3 linked regions of the Sus scrofa genome follow. The protein of the gene in region 2 binds, or shares a complex with, the protein of the main gene of each other region. Links are inferred from orthologs where the notes say so. Each region holds a gene or a part of one and is shown on either strand. Other genes may lie near its edges.

The links.
Region 1: surfeit locus protein 1 (region 2) and SMIM20 share a complex: the UniProt entries of both Homo sapiens proteins name them as parts of the MITRAC (mitochondrial translation regulation assembly intermediate of cytochrome c oxidase complex) complex. The link is inferred for Sus scrofa from reciprocal best matches to the Homo sapiens genes SURF1 and SMIM20.
Region 3: surfeit locus protein 1 (region 2) and CMC1 share a complex: the UniProt entries of both Homo sapiens proteins name them as parts of the MITRAC (mitochondrial translation regulation assembly intermediate of cytochrome c oxidase complex) complex. The link is inferred for Sus scrofa from reciprocal best matches to the Homo sapiens genes SURF1 and CMC1.

The regions. Positions count from the first base shown.
Region 1 is NC_010450.4:19,699,600-19,703,875, reverse strand, and holds the start of SMIM20 (small integral membrane protein 20), read right to left. Parts: upstream 2,835-4,276; 5' UTR 2,718-2,834; coding exon 2,609-2,717; intron 1-2,608.
Region 2 is NC_010443.5:272,967,627-272,971,753, forward strand, and holds the start of surfeit locus protein 1, read right to left. Parts: upstream 2,861-4,127; 5' UTR 2,846-2,860; coding exon 2,774-2,845; intron 2,682-2,773; coding exon 2,630-2,681; exon of another isoform or gene 2,440-2,629; coding exon of another isoform or gene 2,355-2,439; intron 1,775-2,354; coding exon 1,641-1,774; intron 1,557-1,640; coding exon 1,474-1,556; intron 324-1,473; coding exon 132-323; intron 1-131. Other genes in the region: SURF2 (surfeit locus protein 2), read left to right, coding at 2,964-3,041, 3,127-3,281, 4,108-4,127. UniProt on the Homo sapiens protein: Component of the MITRAC (mitochondrial translation regulation assembly intermediate of cytochrome c oxidase complex) complex, that regulates cytochrome c oxidase assembly.
Region 3 is NC_010455.5:14,751,662-14,755,257, reverse strand, and holds the end of CMC1 (COX assembly mitochondrial protein homolog), read right to left. Parts: intron 829-3,596; coding exon 708-828; 3' UTR 569-707; downstream 1-568. UniProt on the Homo sapiens protein: Component of the MITRAC (mitochondrial translation regulation assembly intermediate of cytochrome c oxidase complex) complex, that regulates cytochrome c oxidase assembly.

The sequences.
Region 1 (4,276 bases), on a different chromosome or scaffold from region 2:
CAGTCTGTGCACATATAAAATGGGGATGATGGGAGTTCCCATCGTGGCGCAGTGGTTAACGAATCCGACTAGGAACCAGGAGGTTGTGGGTTCGATCCCTGGCCTCGCTCAGTGGGTTAAGGATCCAGCGTTGCTGTGAGCTGTGGTGTAGGTCGCAGACACGGCTCGGATCCTGCGTTGCTATGGCACCGGTGTAGGCCGGCAGTTATAGCTCTGATCAGACCCCTAGCCTGGGAACCTCCATATGCTGCGGGCGCGGCCCTAAAAGGACAAAAGACCAAAAAAAATTAAAAAAAGAAAGAAAAGACAAAAAATAAAATAGTTTAGAGTAGAGTAGAATAGAATAGAATTAAAAAATAAAACAGGGAGCTAGTCACACAGCAGCTACCACAAAGGGTTGTTATGAAAACCAAATGGGTTAATATATATCAAGTGCTTGCAAGAGAGCTTTCAATAAATATTAGCTATTTAGTATTATTTACTTTTTTAAGGAATCAGTTATGACTCTCAGATAAGAGTTGTTCAAATCAATTAAAATTGAACCAGAAAAGCAGGCAGCTGTAGAATGCCTTACAGTTAAAAATGCAGATACTGGAGCCACATGCACTAAATGTTCACTTTAAAGGCCTCATTTGTCTATCTCAAGGTGACTCAGGCAACCATAGACTCTGGACTACTCCCCATCCCGCCTTTTTTTTTTTAGGGCTGCACCTGCCAGATATGGAAATTCTCAGGCTGGGGTCGAACTGGAGCTGCAGCTGCCAGCCTACAGCACAGCCACAGCAAGTGCCAGATCTGAGCTGCACCTGCGACCTATGCTGTATCTTGTGGCAATGCTGGATCCTTAATCCACTGAGCAAGGCTAGGGATCAAACCCTCATTCTCATGGATATTAGGTTCTTAAACAGCTGAGCCACAATGGGAACTCCCTGGACTATTCCTTTAAGACTGTCATTGGGAGACACAGCACAAACCCACCTTGATCATCTGCCCTAGAGCAAGGGTTTCTCAACCCAGCACCACTGGCACCACTCGCATCTTGGGCTGGGTAATTCTTTGTTAAGGGGTGGGGGCTGCCCTGTGCATTACAGAGAGTTTAGCAGCACCCTGGCCTCTATACACTAGATGCCAGGAGCACACTTACTCCACCCACCCCACCCATTTTGTGACCAGCAAAAACGTCTCCCGATAGAACTAAATGTCCCCTGGGGGACAAAAATCATCCCCAGTTGAGAGGTACGGCTCTAGTCTTCAGAACTGAAACTTTTCAAGTAGGATCCAAAGTAGATTCCCTTGTCCCAGCTTCAACTCTAGGGGCTATAATACAATAGCCCGGGGCAAGGACCAAGTAAGAAGGGATAAAACAGAGAGATAACGCAGGGCTTCCAAGGTCCCATGTTTACCCCCACGCGTGGTCACGCGTGGTCACGCGTGGTCACGCGTGGTCACGCGTGGTCACGTAGATAGATAGGCTGGAAGGCAGGGTGCAGAGGCCATTTCAATCTTGACTGATGAAAAGAAGCTACAAGAAATTTGAGTGTGTACTTAAACCGCTCTGCCTCAGAAACCAGATGTTGTAGCATTTGTAATGGTCAGAGCATTTATACAGCACTTTTGCCTTCAAATCACCAAGCTCACAGCCTCCACTGATATTCTCAAGGGGCAAGGTTGGCCCTTTTCCATCTTCTAGATGATTCAGGTTTCCTGGAGAACAAAATGAGCCTCTAATGCCTAATATTTTCTCTCTGACAGATGGTTTCAGATGTATCAAAGTGCTAATCCTTGCTGAGGTATAGGTCTCAAGGAAGGGGAGTGTGGCTTTTAGAATGATAGGACTGGAATGATTAAGGAAGAAAATTACTCCCAGGATATTCACCATTGTCATGTGAGTAACCAGCTTAAAATGAAGGAAGATAGCAGAATCTGAAGGAAGATTTGAGGAGAAAGAAGAGGAAAAACCCAAAACCTCAGGTTAACAGTTTAGCTCTGAGACATTTCTGATCAAAGACATCTTTGGGAGCGGAAATGAAGTGCAATAAACACATCTGCAAGTTCAGGACAATTAGGGCCCACCTCCCTCCCCCAATATCACCTTCCCAGCTTCAGTACAAGGAAGAAATTCTGGAGACAGAGGCCTGGGTTGGAATACGTGTCTTGCCGCTAACAGCTGTGTGACTTTGGGCATGTTACACAACCTGAGTCTCAGTTTCCCCGTCTGTAAGACAGCAACATGTACCTCAAAAAAAGGTGTAAATTAAAAGATCCTATGTGCATTAACGAGACATAGAAGCCTGCAGTGAATGTTAGCTATGAATATTAACTCGTATTTAGTGTTGACCTACGACGTGCAGACTGCCTTTGAGTCTCAGCAGAGGCTAGACGGTTTTATTTTAAGATACTACAGAAACACATAACTACTGATGAAGATAGTGAGGGCCCAAGAGGTGGAGTCACTTGTCCACGGTCACAAAGCTGCACACAAAGGATTCGAACCCAGGTCTCCCTGACTCGCGAGCCAAGCTCTGCCCAAGGCCCCACGTGGAGAGGATGGGGAAAGAGAGGGAGTCACTGGGACCAGGGCACCGCGTGGTGGTCAGAGGTCACTCACGGTACTCCTCCAGCCGCATTAGGGGCCGGAAGTAGATGGGGTAGAAGGCGGCGCCGATCAGGGTGATGAAGCCACCAAAAATGAGCGCGGTGCGCAGATTCGTGGACATGGCTCTGAACCGGGCCTTCGCTGACCCGCTGAGGACACCGAGCTCTCGCAATCCTGGCTCCTGCCCGCTGGGTCGTGACCCGGCTGGGAAGTGGAGAAACGGCTTTTGCTTCCGGGCCTTGTGGGCGGGGCTAGGAGGCGGAACAGGGGCGGGAAGAGGTTGGGTCAAGGGTGGCACCGAAGGCGGGGCTTAGGACTGGGTGGGGCTAGGGCAGGGGGTGGGGCTGGGGCGGGGGTGGGACTAGGGGAGGAAGGGGCGAGGCGTGTAACCCCACGCACCGCCTCCGGGCGGTGCCTGGCAGCGCCTGGCTGCCTGGCTCCGGAGGGCGAGCGCCAGCTGGGAGAATGGAGAGTGGAGCTTTTATTGCTCTTGATCTCAGTTCCGCCCCCTGCCCTAAACCGGGTTCACCTCTCAGCCGCTCCACCCACACTCTTCTGACCTCGTTACCACTCCCTCCTTTACCAACCAAACTTCCTTCTTCCACCACTGGTTTGATTTTCATGACTCCACCAAGAGGTGGATGCTCTCTAGGGCTCATTGATTTAATCCACATATCTTTTACAGATGAGGAAATCCTGTCTTGGCTGCATGATTTAAACAAGTTGCTTGGCCTTAAGGGCGGTTTGAGGGGATTAGAGACAAATGCAAATCGCCTGACCCTGGATGGCCAGCAGGGGCTTCTGAACCAAGGCTAGCTTGGGAGGAATATTATTGCAACATCCAAACTACAAGTAAATCTTTTCTGACTCTGATCTTCCATGCTCTCCTCTCTCCCTCTTCCCTTTGTTGGATGTCAGGATTACGAATGAGGATGGGGAATAGAGATCCGTGCAGGGCAGGGAGCCAGCAGCCAGTTCTACTAATGGGACCTTGGGGCTCTGCCTTGTTGCCTGGGGTGGAAGCCACTGAGGACAGATCTGCTTCCTCTTCCTGTGATTGCCATCCTTCATGTTTCTGGGGGGGGGCTGTGTCAGTATATGACCCACCCAGCGGTACTGGACAGCTGAGACTAAGATTCCCTGGGCTTTCACTCAATCGTTTTTAAATAAGAATGATACCAGCAGCTGGGGGCTGGGGAACAAATCTTGACCCCAGCATCATTATTTAGTGCAGAAAAGATTTACGATCTTTCGGAAATGGTGTGGAGGTCACAGGTTTCCTCTTTTCTTTGTAGTTTTGTAGTTGAGTCAAGCTACTATGTACCTCTGTGGTTCCAGAAGCATATAAATCAGGTATTCAATCTGTCAGCAGATTTATGGACTGTCCGCTGTGCCCCAAACATCAGGCAAAGTGCCACGGGGGACACAAAGATGAATAAGACATGACCCTTGCTCTCCAGGATCCTGTCATGTGGATGGAGGGACAGGACATATACATAAAAAGACAGCTAATGACCCGACACAGCCTGTTGCTGATGAGTGATGGAGTCTTGGGGGCTGCAGAAGTTCAGAGGAGGAAGACAGATGACTGTAGGTGAGATAACTGCTCCTCGGGTGCTTACAGGAGCTTGTTAGGGTGAGGATAGAAGACTTTATAGCAAAGAGGGAAGCTGCGATGCC
Region 2 (4,127 bases):
ATTACACATTTCAAACTCAAAAAGCAACTGAACTTGTCTGAGTATCCTGGGTGCCCTGGGGTTGGGGGCTGAGAAGCAAAGCCAAGGAAATGAACGCCTCACAGGCCAGTCGGCCCCTGAGCCCCACTCACCCCAGGTCAGTGCAGTGGAAGGGAGTGACAACGTGGGCGCCACTCTCGGCGGTTGACGACAGCCGGCCGGCGTCCCGGGCCTCCCGGGCCGGGTCCACCATGGTCCTTGGCATCAGGTACAGCTCCTTGGAGTGGTCAAAGTGCCCCCTGACCTTCACCGGCCTGTACTCCAGGTTTCGCAGTTCCAGTGGGCTACAGGGAGAGGAGAAACGGAGCTGGGGCCGCGCAAGGTTTGGCAGGAAGACGAACCCTTTGGATCTGCCATGAAGCCCACGGTGACTGAGGTGCCCTCTGAAGGAGGAAGCCGGGGCCTTTGATGCCACATGGGAATGTGGGTCTGGGCTGCCCAACGGAGCAAGTGTTCAGGAAAAGCTTAGAGATGGACTCCCGCATGAACGGGATAAAACACATGAGCCAAAGCCACATCCGCAAGCCAAGTGGGACCCACTGTTTGCTGTCTTGAGCGGAAAGCATTCTGATTACAGCTGTTCCTCTAGGATGGGGCTTTTATTTTTTGTTTTTTAGGGCCGCACCCGTGGCACATATAAGTTCCCAGGCTAGGGGTCATATCAGAGCCACAGCCACGTGGGATCCAAGCCTCTCCTGTGACCTAAATTACACCTCGCGGCAATGCCGGATCCTTAACCCACCAAGCAAGGCCAGGGATGGAACCCACATCCTCATGGTTACTAGTGGGACTCGCTGCTGCGGCACAACAGGAACTCTGGATGGTGCTTTTAAATGAGGGGACAGGGGAGTTCCTGTTGTGGCTCAGTGGTTAACGAATCTAAGAACCATGAGGTTGTGGGTTTGATCCCTGGCCTTGCTCAGTGGGTTAAGGATCTGGCATTGCCGTGAGCTGTGGTGTAGCTTGCAGACGCGGCTCAGATCCCGTGTTGCTGAGGCTCTGGTGTAGGCCAGCAGCTACAGATCCGCTTAGATCCCTAGCCTGGGAACCTCCATGTGCCGCGGGAGTGGCCCTAGAAATGGCAGAAAGACAAAAAATAAAAATTAAAAAAATTAAAATGAGGGGACAGGGCTGTAGACTCACTGGGCACTTTTTCAAAGTACTTCTCCTGTCAAGAGATACGTGTACCCTAGCGCTGGCTAAGAATGACTGCTATAGAGGCCATCCTCGAGGGACCCTTGCTGCACAGGGCATGGAAAAAAAGGTGAATCCCAGGTTCAAAAATTTTCCTGTGTATGTCAGGCAGTGTCACAAGGGCAGTCGAGTGACAACAGGAAGCCTAGCAGGCCCACTGATGTGAGAGCTCCCATCAGGGTCAGGAAGGCATGTGACCTCCGGCCAGCGCAGCCCTGGTGGGCAGCCACATACACTCACTCTGCGGGCAGCGGGATGGGCTCAGCCATAATCCTGGACTCCAGTTCGGCGATCAGCTTTAGCTTCCACTTCCGACGCTGGACCTACACAGACACAGAGCATTAGCTCGAGCGGGTGGCAGCAGGGTCAAGGGCTCAGGGCCAGGAGAGCCAGAGGTCAGGCTTTACCTGCCATGTCCCCAGGCCAAAGGCAGTCCCAGGAATGAGGAGTAGAAACCACTGGAGAAAGGCATCATCGTGCGCTTTTGCGGCAGTCGCTTCAGCTGAAGAGCTGCCACTCCTGCTGGGCCTCCAGGCCAGCCCTAGGAGATGTCACAACATGGGCATGGGGCTAGAGGCCTGGGACAAAGAAGTGGAGGCTCCGAGTTCTCAAAACTGCCACTATTGCCAAAGAGAACATGGGCCGGGAGGAGGGCACAGGCCACCGTGTGCAGTCAGGAGCCAACCAGCAGCCCAGCCCTGCCCCTACCCAGTACCCGGGCCTTGACCCCCACTCAGCGGACGTTCACTGACGAGGAGATCTAGCATTCAGTCCTGGCTCTGCCACCAACCATGACCCTGACCGATTCACATAACCAACCCGTGCCTTTCGCACAAGAACCCGCTAAGATGCATCCTATCACGCCGACCACACAGGTCCACCAGCCACAGTGCTCTGAAGAGAGCGTGAAACACTCAGGACAGTGGTTTACAGAGCTCTCAGCATTTAAACCTCGAAAAAGGTACACAGAAAGTGCCTTTAGACACTCAGCGGGCGAGTGCCGTCAACGGAAAGCATCATGGGTTTGGGGCCGCTAAACAAGCTGGTCTGGAGCAGGCTTGCGACCTTTAAATGTGCACCGCACTCCACACACACACACACACGATTGCCCTTTGCTGTACCCGGGAGGCAACGTGCAAACCGTCGCGACTGGTTGTGCTTTTCTTCAGGATCCCGGACGGTTTCAGCCTTGGGCTGGCCCCGCATTAGTCCGAGGAGGTGTCTGGGCAACTACCGCACGTCTTCCGCCGAGGGCGTCGGACTGCCGCATGGGACGGGCCGGCGCGTGGCCAGGGCCTGTCCCCGAGGCGCAGGAGGCAGTTCCAGGGTTCATCGTGACCCCATGACCCCTGGCAAAGTGCAGGGCAGCTTTCCCAGGTGCCAAACGACTCCTCACCTGGGCGCGAGATGACCCCAAGGACGCTCCTCCCGACGGCGCGGGCCGGGGCCTGCGGAGACGCGAGGGGCCGGCTGAGCTCGTCCAGTCCGGGCGCGCCCCCCAGCCGGGCCGCCCCCCGCCCGGGCTCCCCGCCCCGCTCACCCGCCCCGCGCCCGCGGCGCGGAGCACCTGCGCCAGCCCCGCCGCACGCAGCCCCAGCCACCGCGCCGCCATCGCCCCGCGCGCGCGCGCTTCCGGCGCCCGGAGGCGTCTGCTTCCGGGGCCCGCCCGGCCCCGCCCCCGGCCCACGTGGTCCAGCGGCGCTCAGCTGCGGGTCCGCGCGCGTGGGACCATGAGCGAGCCGCCGGCCGAAGTGGTCGCCTTCCTGCGCGAGCACCCGAGTCTGCGGCTGGAGCCCGGCGCCCTCAAGGTGGGCGGCGGGATCGGGACCCCCAGACCGCCCCCGGGACCCCGGCTGCCCGGCCTCCCTGACCGCCCCGCTCTCCCGCCGGCAGGTGAGGTGCGCTCTGACGGGTCATGAGCTGCCTTGCCGCCTGCCCGAGCTCCAAGTCTACACCCGCGGCAAGAAGTACCGGCGGCTGGTGCGTGCCTCCCCGGCCTTCGACTACGCCGAGTTCGAGCCGCACATCGTGCCCAGCACCAAGAACCCGTACGAGCCGGAGGCGGGGCGGGCCCTGCCCGGGAGGCCCGGGGTGGGACAGTTCCTAGTGCTGAGTCTGGCTAGGGCCGGGTAGACTCCGCAGCCCCGACCCCTCCCCGCTAGGTGGGCGCTCCTCTAAGACGCCACCAGTTCCGCGGCGCCCACCCTCCCTTGAGTTAGGGCCCCCGAGATCCAGGTGGGAATCCTGGAGCTGGGCGTCACCTGGGACCTCAGGCGAGGCCCGGTCCCCGTGCATGTTTGCTTTTTTGTAAAGATGAGGTTTGTCTCCTGGGCCTCTTTGCTTCATAGAGGGTTGGAGCGCTTGTGCTTTGTCACCTGAGGTTCGAACGCTGGCATTTTATCTTTAGTTGAAAAGAACTTTGATTTAGCTGAGAGCACCCGGTGGACAATACTAGTCTTAATGAAGAGGGCGCTGGCAGATGCTCCCACTGTCGCACACCTTCCCAGGCTATCACCAGCGCACCTCTCTCATGCTGGAGCAGTCTGGAGAGGCTGGCTCCGCCTATTGAGAGGCCACTGTCTGGGGGAGGGGTTCCCCCCCAGTTCAGAGTACAAGTGCTTGGAAGCTCTATAAGAGTCCCAAAGTTCCCTGGTGGCCTCACGGTTAAGGCTCTGGCATTGTCACTGCTGTGGCATGGCTGCAATCCCTAGGTCAGGAATTTCGCCATGCCGTGGGTGCAGCCAAAAAAAAAAGACTCCCAGTGCCCAAGCCACATGGTAGACCTCCCCCGCTCAGACTCTCCGGGGTGATTCTAAGAGCAGCCACAGTAGACAGCCACTGGTCTGGAACCTCGCTTGTGAAATGTCCCCTCAGGCACCAGCTGTTCTGCAAAC
Region 3 (3,596 bases), on a different chromosome or scaffold from region 2:
TCTCCCTGAGGATGTGGGTTTGATCCCTGGCCTTGCTCAGTGGGTTAAGGTGCTGTAGGTCAAAAATGCAGCTCGGATCTGGTGTTGCTGCGGCTGTGGCATAGGCCTCAGCTGCAGTTCTGATTCAACCCCTAGTCCAGGAACTTCCACATGCTGCAGATGTGGCCATTAAAAATACTATACTCATACTACTACTGATAATAACTACAAAGAGCACTTACCATGTGCAAGGCACTGTCCTACCTACTCTACTTACCTGCAGTACTTGGTTAATACTCATGGTAACTATGAGACATATCCACAGTTGCTTAACTAATAAATGGTAGGTTCATAACCATTATGCTATACTGCCAAGTTACTACACCTCTGAAGGCTGTCCATTCCTGCTTTGCTTTAGTAAATGCTGGCCACATGAGGAGAGTAAGGTAAGAGTCATGTGGAAACTTAAGAAATCAGCTGTCACTGTTACAGAACCACAGTTGTGCAAAAGTTAATGGAAAATCCATAATGACCAAGCAGACCACATCCCATTTTACTACTTACTCCTATCCTATTTAATAAACTTAACTTTGAAGTTTGCAAGAACTTTATTTCAGATAAAATTATTTCCGTAATTAAGGGTAAAGCAAACACTTCCTTAAGTCCGTTATTTCAGGTGACTGTGATTTCCATGGATATTAGGGTTCCTGAGTATCATTTGACTTCGCCTACATGCTTGTGGGAAGCTTCTGTAGTCTTTTCTTGGTAGGAATCCCAGTTTTTCTGAATTCTTCCCTTTCCTTCAGATATTCCATTTTGCATTCTTCATAAAAGGCTGGATCATTATAGCTATAAGAAAGAAAAAACTTTTAAAGTGAATTACTTTGCAAGCATATAATATAAGCTCCCTTTCACAATACATTCAGACATCCAGTTCATCAGACACAATCTTTAGTAGCAGATTTTTAATAATGGTCAAATTTGTTGTAAACATTCAGCTACCAAATTAAAGGGAGAAAAAAAAAAAAAAAAGACCTAATAGGTTTTTTTTTCTGGATAGCCAGGAGAGAGAAACAGGAAGCTCGGCACCGTCCTCAGGAGTCCAAGATGTCAGAAGACAAGGCCTGTGTCACAGTGATGCATGTGGGTGGGAGACAGAGGCGTGGCCCAGCGCACCATGGAAACAAGGGAGCAGCAGGAGAAGGACACTGTCCAGGGATATTTGAACCACATTCTGAAGGACCAACAAAAATGCACATAGAAGGCACATGTGGAAAAGCCCACAGATGAGGAAACACTGACGGGCGAAGAGCTATATGTACACTAGTACCAGCATAGCAGTTTCTCAACAGAAGAAGGGGCTGAGGTGAAGCCAGAATGGCAGAGGCCCGGTCATGATGATCCATTCATGCCCCTCTAATAAGTCAGATCTACCCGAATGGGCACTATTAATATGACAGCTGTGAGATCAATTCTGTGTCTTGAATAAGTCTGACAACTTGTGGCAAAAGGCCAGCAAGGTGAGAGCAGTGTCCAATAAATAAACCAGGACCTTAACCCAGACAAGATGCAAAGAGGGCCTGAGCACAGGGAGGCACATCCTGATGAGAAGGGTGAAATCGCTCTGGGGGGTAACTCAGGAGATGAAATGAACAATTAGGAGCCCAGGAAGATTCTGGATTCTAGACGAGTGAAATTGACAAAGACACAGGATGCAAGAGTCAAAGGGCCAAGTCCAGTATGGGGCCTGAAGAAGAGAGCCAAGAAATGAATCCACGATTGACAGGAAGGAGCTGGATTCCGTGGATGTAAACTGACCTTTGTCATATTTGACAATGAGGAGAAGATCTGGCAAACCGACATGAAGGAAGAGGAGAGGAAGAAAAGGTCCAGAAGAGAAAGACAGAGATGCTGAGGGAAGAGAAAAGAGGGTAATGAGGGAAGCCAGGTCGAAGAGCATCTTAGGGGTTTCCAGAGAGGTCGAGTTTAGAAAGGATGGGAGGATACCTACTAGAAGCTTTAGGAAGAGCAGCTTACACCGGGTGAGGGCAGAAGTCAGACTGCAGTTTACTGAGGAACAAATGAGGATGAGACGGGGGACATAAGAGAACACAAACCATCAGTGTTTCAAGAGGTCACTGAAGAGATGAGAGGGTAGGAGCGCGTCCATGGGACGGCAACAGTAAATACAGCAGAGCATCTCTTAGCATATGTTGAGAATGAAGGTCAAATAACACATTCTCTGGGAACAGCCCTCCGTTCAATTTCAGCAAATGTCAGTCATGGCCTGTTGCCTTGCCTGCTTCCACCTAAGTGGAGGCCTCCCCTCTGTGTTCCCAGCCATCTCCCAGGATGGGCCAGAACCTATCATTTTTACCTTCCTATCTTCGTGGGGCAAGAGAAGGAAGGACATTCAAATGATTATGATGCAGATAACAGCAGTCAATAAATAACAAATACAAACTGAAAAACAGAGCTAACATTTACTGGGCACCCTGTGCTGGGGCGATGTGTGCATATGGGGGCCTCCAGGTATCCTGCAGCAAATGTCACGGAGGCGGTGCTGTGCTCTGGGGGACCCAGAGGACACGAGCCTGGCCGCCCTCCTGGCCACATTCCTGGGCCCTTTGCCCCAGGGCTGCCCACCCCAACCAAGAGGCATAGCTGATGATGATGACTGGCACCAGCTGAATAGCTTCTAGTCAACAAACATCTCTTGGAAGCTCCAGGGATCAAAACTCTTACTTCTCCAGTTAAGTGCTTAGTGCAGGTCCGGGCTCATAAAAAAGAGCAGCTGTTAGAATTGCTTTTAATCTCTTATTCACTGGAGAAAAGATATGTGGACTTAGAATATGTTTCCTCATGTATAAATGCGGGGACTAGTTTAAATAATCTCTAAGGTCTTCCAAGCCAGTATTCTAAAATTGTCTGTAAACTTAACATGTACATTATTCCTCATCAAAAAAGAAAACAAATATAAGATTCAGATAGTTACAACTTTCTTTTTACCTAACTGCCTAACAAGTGTCAAAACATCCTGATATAGATGGTTCCCAGGCCAGGGGAGGAGAACACGGAACGAAGGAAGGGCCGTCCAAACGTGAGGCCTCGCTGACGACTACCAACTAACTACTCGCTGAAGGACCACACTCTGCAATGCCAACAACGTGGGTAATACAATGAGTGAGGAGATGAGCAGAGAGCACCTGCATTCAATAAAACATCAGTGAACCTTACATATAAGAAGCACTTTTATGTTTTGGCCGTGCTTGTGGCACACACAGGTTCCCAGGCCAGGCACCAAACCCGCACCATAATAGCGACCTTAGCCACAGCAGTGACAACACTGGATCCTTAACCCACTGAGCCACCAGGGAAGTCCAGACCTAGAATTTTAATCAGATAAAATGCTGAAAAATACGTGTAACCTGAAAAGACCCTTCGTGAATATGTGAGATTTCCTTTTTTTTTCAGAACAATCTTTGACAAATTACAGTTTTAGACTTAGCAACAGTATGATGAATTTGGTGGGGGAAGAAGTACAGAATATATTACATGTAATGAGTTAAATACTATGCTCTTACCTAGAACACCTCTCTCTCTCTCTCTCTCTCACA